Drosophila melanogaster: one gene and its partner. The protein of the gene in region 1 purifies or fractionates together with the protein of each later gene. This does not show direct contact. Each region holds a gene or a part of one and is shown on either strand. Other genes may lie near its edges.

What was found. Proteins that work in one complex are often made in the same cells at the same time.
Region 2: the proteins of CG3088 (region 1) and JMJD7 purify together in Drosophila melanogaster (affinity purification with mass spectrometry, with the first as the bait; one large-scale study listed by BioGRID). This does not show direct contact.

The regions. Positions count from the first base shown.
Region 1 is NT_037436.4:9,599,849-9,602,943, reverse strand, and holds CG3088 (uncharacterized protein), read left to right. Parts: upstream 1-1,618; 5' UTR 1,619-1,638; coding exon 1,639-2,397; 3' UTR 2,398-2,454; downstream 2,455-3,095. Other genes in the region: CG3306 (uncharacterized protein), read right to left, coding at 482-1,348; CG3222 (uncharacterized protein), read right to left, coding at 2,732-3,095.
Region 2 is NT_037436.4:13,448,590-13,452,342, reverse strand, and holds JMJD7 (jumonji domain containing 7), read left to right. Parts: upstream 1-2,059; 5' UTR 2,060-2,083; coding exon 2,084-3,034; 3' UTR 3,035-3,156; downstream 3,157-3,753. Other genes in the region: cmb (combover), read right to left, coding at 3,298-3,753. UniProt on the Drosophila melanogaster protein: Bifunctional enzyme that acts both as an endopeptidase and 2-oxoglutarate-dependent monooxygenase.

The sequences.
Region 1 (3,095 bases):
TTTTGGCGCTCTCCACTGTGTTCTCTGTGTTTTGCCTTTCACTTTCTCTGATTTCACTTTCGTTCCTTTTAATTAAATGGATTTCTCGGCCGGCTTTAATTAACATCAAATTTATCTTTACGCCCCCGTGCACGTGTAGCAATAATGTTCGGCGATTATGGGTTCATTACCCGCTGTGCCGGTGGCCTAGGCCTAAATGTTTACAATTTTCCAGGTTTAAGGTAACATTTGAGCCAAAGGTTCAATGCCGCCATGGACCCGATGACCTAGTAAAAAAGAAAAAGAAAAGGAAAGCACACACCTTTAGGCCTAAGTGGATTTCCATGTTCGCCTGCAGTTTTCGCGACTTGGCCATAAATCTAGAGCTCCTAACATGGAGGCGTTGGTCACAGAATGTGGGTCAACCAACGATTTACAATATATTAATTTAAGGCCACATCGAAAAGTAGAAGCGAAAGTAACAAAAAATTCAAAGGATCAATCAGTTGATGCGACACACGCTGCTCTCGCTCTTCGCTCTTGTCCAATTGCCATGGAACTCCTCATGACGCAAACCCATGGCCTGAGCCTCCGACGTCGTGGAATCCGTAGTGCTGGCCAGATGGAGACGCTCCGAAGCGAAGCTATCCAAGCTGGTGGAGTGCTTACAAGGATGGATTTTGGTCATGAACTCCCTTTGGCTGCAGCCTGCATTCTCCTGATTGTTCCGGATGATCTCACGGGCAAAACGGGCCAATAACTTCTGTTTGTGGTGACGCTTGCTGAGTGGTCCATGGGCACAGTTCTCTCGGATCCAGCGACGAGCCTCCCGACATCCTAGATATATACTCTGGTTGCTAAACGTCTTTGTATCCAACATGAAGCCACGATTGCCCAGCAGTCCGAAGCCCAGATCGAAAATATTGCGACCCAGGTTGAGCGGATTTGGTCCGTCCTTGGACTGGAACTTATTCGGACCGACGGCATCCATAGGCTCCTTGGTTTCCTGGTAGAATCGGCGATCCTCCGGCGTGCAATACGTCCAGGGTTTGAAACTCATCGTGTAATGATCCTTCATCTCAAAGTCGACGGGCAGACTATCATTGAAGTTAACCTGATCGATCGAGACCAGTCTGCCATTGTGATGGGTTACTTGATAGGTAACGCCCAAGGAATCAGGAATTTGTATGGTGCCTTTTCCGTGGAAACGATTGTTGAGAAACTCTCCCGTGTAGCATGTCCCATCCGGATAAATGTAGACACCCATCTCCTGCATGCCCAACTCATCACTGGGACCAACGTATCTGGATCCAGTCAACAGAATATCAACCTGGGTAATGCTTGAAGATTTTGTTGTCTTCTGCTCCATGATTTTTAGAAAGCTTATTTACACTGTATACCAAAAATAACAATTTTAAAGTTGAGTAAATGTTCGTTGAAATGGGTGTTCAAATAATTTACTATATATTATTTGAGATAACAAGTTTTGCCGAACTAATATGATGCCACTAATGGCAATTTACTTAAATAATTATAACTTAAATGAGTAACGCCCCTCAAGATAATCAAAGAAATTTCACTAATGTTCGCTAATTACCCAGTGAATATCTATATAAACTCGTCAGTTTAACTAGGCAGTAACAACCTTCGCTTGAAATCATGAAGCTATTGGTAGTTTTCTTGGGTCTCACTCTCGTCGCAGCAGGAAGTGCTAAGAAGGATTCCGAGGATCCTGATCACATTATAACCAATGGAAGCCCCGCTTATGAAGGTCAGGCACCCTATGTGGTGGGCATGGCCTTTGGACAGAGCAACATCTGGTGCAGTGGCACTATTATAGGCGACACCTGGATCCTTACATCCGCTCAGTGTCTAACGGGCAGTTCCGGAGTGACCATCTACTTTGGAGCCACCCGGCTGAGTCAGGCCCAGTTTACGGTGACAGTGGGAACTAGTGAGTACGTTACGGGTAATCAACATCTCGCCCTGGTTCGAGTTCCTCGAGTCGGATTCAGCAACCGGGTCAACCGGGTGGCCCTTCCATCACTGAGAAATCGATCCCAGCGCTACGAGAACTGGTGGGCAAATGTCTGTGGATGGGGAGTGACCACCTTCAGCAATGGACTCACCGATGCGCTGCAATGCGTCGACCTTCAGATAATGTCCAATAACGAGTGTATCGCCTTCTACGGATCCACCACCGTCTCCGATCAGATCCTGTGCACCCGTACGCCCAGCGGCAGATCCACTTGCTTTGGCGATGCCGGCAGCCCCCTGATCACCAAACAGGATTCCACCGTGGTGGGCATTTCCGCATTTGTGGCCTCCAACGGGTGCACCTTGGGATTGCCCGCTGGATTTGCTAGGATCACCAGCGCACTGGATTGGATCCATCAAAGGACTGGAATCGCCTACTAATGGGTCAAATAGTAGCAACATTTAATAAAAAATGTCCAATACCTGCATAGATATTTTATTGCTTATAAGGTCTTTTCTACTTTAAAAAAAAATTGGCTAATATACAGCAAAGTCCGGTGGGTTGTACTGAATACTAATGCAAAATATACTTAAAATGAATATGATCCTACTGACCATTAAACTATTAACAAATACTACGAGTATTCTAAGAAACTTTAAAAACGTTGAATTTTATTTTTCAGATTACAAAGTAATTGCATTCATTTTCTCTCCGAGCTCTTAAGCTTAAATTTTAAATTGAAAAAAACATATATAAAGACATTGATCGGCGGATCTACAACTCGAATATGGACCGGGTCATGTCCATGTAGCTATTGCGGCGTATTAGATTAGATTGCACCACATTTATGTTATCCGCCGTCCGTTTCCTCATCATGTTGTTGGCCGAGCGGTATGATTCCTCAAAGTTTAGGACCAGTTCATCCTCGCCAAAGCTGTCCGTCTGGCAGCTGGAGGGTCCACCCGACTGCGGATTGCGTACATCTGAGGTGCTCGACCATCGGCGTGGTCTCTTCACCGTCTCCATTTTGGCGCAAGGATGCACGCGCTTGAACTCCATTTGATCCTTCTGCTGTTTATCCAACATCCCAGCATAGGCACGCACACACATCTCCGTCTCCCAGGCGGGATCGTCGACG
Region 2 (3,753 bases), 3.8 Mb from region 1:
TCGACGCCCCACCCACTCGGGGGCGATCGCAATTTGACAGTGCTTATGACGGCGCAGCCTCTGTCGCCACAAAGAAGTACGCGCTGGCATGCAGCGAATGCAAGTGCGAGTGCAACTGCGAGTGCAGCGCCACGCGACTGACTCATTTCGGGGCTTGCCATGCAGCAGCAACAACTGTGCGAAATTTAAATAAATTGTGGAAAAATGCATTGCTCTGTGCGAGTTTGGCATTGTTTCCCCAACTGGCTTTTCGGCTTTCGGGTTTCGGTTCACACACCAATTGTTGTTGCTGCCCCTCATTTTTTTTTTATGACGCTTATCAGTTTTCAGTTTCGCAGGCCGAATTTATGTAAATCTTACAGCCAGTGATGGTATTTTAATTGCGTAAGAACTGTCATACGCACTGTTGGCGTTTGTTGATTTTGATTCTCTTTTTTTGGAGGGTATATGCGCTGCAGTCTATGGTTTGTAATGCATTGAAGGGAACTTTCACCGGAAGTGTCTATTATAGCCTATATCAGTTAAATAGCTATCAACATAAGACTCTATCAATCACTTTGGTTTATTTTTAAGCAGATTAGATTTGAAAATTTGTCTGATTGGAACTGTGTGTTTAGAGTCACAGAGTCTGATTGGCAAATTAAGACATCAATTTATTTATTTAAGCATAATTTTTTATGTTTCAGTTAAGTTAAACATTCTTTAATCGTTAGGGTGTGTAAACTTCGACGTTTGCAAGTATTTGCTTCAAAAGAGCATCGTACTTACTCTTTCACAGCCGCTTCATTGGCGTCCGACTGCTAATTGGACTGCAATTGGATTTAGTAATTCCGAAGACCGATATTTATAGGCCACGGAGTTTGCGTTCTTTTTTGTTTGCGCCCAGCTTCGCGAAGCGTGGCTACCAAAAATAATTGTTAGCTCTATTAAGACCTATTGGCTGGGTAGATCCAATTCACGCGGCACTTGGAAAGTTTGGTCACGTTCTCCTGGCAAAATGAAACAAACGCAGTGCCGCTGCAAAACTAGATATTCTCCGTCATTTGCGATTCCTGCATTAATGAAGCACTCGCTGTGCGGCGCGCGAATGTGCGATAATTTATTAGTGCCACATTTGCGACACAGATTTCGATTTCGGACCGCCGCCGGTGGCCACCAAGTCAATTCAATTTCCTCACGCGCACACCGCCTGACCCCTTTTGGCCACAAATAATAATGCCGGGCCTATGTCAGTCTATAAGTCTATCAGCACCAAATTTCGCCAAATCCCGTGGCCCATCGACACGATCCATTTAGCCACCCATCCATCCATCCGTCATCCGCCACCTGTTGCTCGAATCGCACCAGCTGAACTTCGAATCCGCGCGAATGTCGGGCATGCAAAAGAGGTGACGACCCTGATCCTCCTCTGAGTCGCTGGTGAAATCAATTGTATTTCACAAAACAAATAGAGCACCGACCGTATTCGAAAACAATTTGTTTCTATCACAAACACTCGACACGCGTCGTCTTGTTTGCATTCCAGTCCGCTCCACTTCCTATCCGACTGTCCGCAGCTTCGCGCGCGTCTTGAAAGTCCCGCACTCGCAAACACACTCGCGTCCAGTGGGACCGCGCCGAAAGCGCTGGAAAATACCAAGCGACTTGCAAATAAATACCACAGTTCTCAACACCATTGCAGTTTCAGAAAATACCACTTATATTTCTATACCACCAAATTCAAATTAATTATTAAAAGCAAAATCAAAATCAAAATGCACGCTAGACAACCTCTATAAGATAGATAGTAAGATCTTTCTTTTCTTAGCATTTTTGCATTTCACCGACGCGAATTTGACCCTTATCGATTTTTTCGGAATACCTTGCTTACTTACTTTAAAAACGTAACAAAAATTACAATAATAAATGTTTCAATTTAATTTGTGTATAATATATTATTTATTTAATACGTCATTTGGTGAAACTAATTAAATTCACTGCAGCACTTCAGTTTAACTTTCACTGAAAACCAGAACCCCACATTACACTGCGCTGATAAGGTCCACTCTAGCGGAAAATGCGTTAGTGCGTGTTGTTTACCGGCATGTCCGAGGTCGAAAGAGCTCTGGATGTTCTGCTCCAGGAAGCGGAGGAGCTGTGCATCGGGAGCAGCGTAGTGGAGCTGGACAGGATTCCAACCGCCTTGGAGTTTTGTCGGGAATTCTACTCCAAAAACCAGCCGGTGGTCATTCGCAAGGCACTCAATTGGCCCGCGATTGGCAAATGGACGCCAAAGTACCTGATCGAGGCTCTCGGGGACAGGAGCGTGGATGTGGCAATCACCCCGAATGGCTATGCCGACGGCTTGGCCACTCAAAATGGACAGGAGTACTTCGTTTTGCCGCTGGAGACGAAAATGAAGCTGTCCGAGGTGGTCCGCCGCCTGGATGATCCCACTGGTGCTGTCCACTACATACAAAAGCAGAACTCTAACCTCAGTGTGGACCTACCGGAACTGGCTGCTGATCTGCGGGTCAGTGATCTCGACTTTGCGCAGCAGTCCTTTAACAAACCGCCTGATGCTGTTAACTTTTGGCTGGGCGACGAGCGCGCCGTTACCTCCATGCACAAGGATCCATACGAGAACGTGTACTGCGTGATATCCGGTCACAAGGACTTCGTTCTCATCCCGCCGCACCAGCTTAGCTGCGTACCGCGAGGAATTTACCCTACAGGCGTTTACAAGACCTCAGATAGTGGTCAGTTCTACATTGAACCGTTGAGGGATGAGGAAGGCAGCGATCAGTTCACAGAATGGGTCAGCGTTGATCCCTTGTCACCCGACCTGGCCAAATATCCGGAGTACGCCCGGGCCAAGCCTCTGAAAGTACGTGTTCACGCGGGAGACATCCTATACCTGCCCAACTACTGGTTCCACCATGTGTCCCAAAGCCACAAGTGCATCGCCGTGAACTTCTGGTACGATCTGGACTACGATAGCCGGTACTGCTACTACCGCATGCTGGAGCAGATGACGTCCGCAAGGAGTGGCTAATAGAATCCGGAGAAGTATTTATTCTCAGGGATTGTTAGGTGAATTCAAAACCCTTCTTGTTTTCAGTGTATTTATATATATTATTGTTACATAATTTAGTGTTAAATAAAAAACTGATACCCAAAATGAGTTGCGAACTACGACTAAGGACACGACCATAAAAGATTTATCTTTTCCGAAATTCGTAAATGAAATATGAAATATCCGTACAGATGATGACTTCTTAAATAAGGAATGTTTGCTTTGTTGGGTTATTCTCTAGTCTATTCGAGACTGACGTCCTGTTTTTCTGCGCCGGAAGGCTCCGCTGCAGCCTGTCCATCTGCCTCCTCGTCGGGATTTTCGTTGTTCTCGCACTCCAGTTCGCCATTTCCCGCGGAGGAGACGTTCTTTTGGTCCGCCTCGGCCAAGTCTGCATCGTTATTCGAGTCCTGCGACTGGGATTGGGACTGTTTGCGCACACGCTGGTTCTTCAGCTTGGCCGGACTGGCTCCAGAAGGTGTCACCTTCGACTTGGTCTTGCAGCTATCCTGCGGCTGTTCCACCACAAACAGCTGCTCCAAATAAGAACGGTACCAAAGCAGGAACTCGTCCCGCTGTCGTGGTATGTCCATCTTCTTGATCTTGGCATATATGCGTTTGGGCGAAATTAGTGGCGAGCTGGCGGTCGAATTCTGGGCAGCAGTGGCCGTCAGCTTTGATACCTCTGCCAGTAGGGA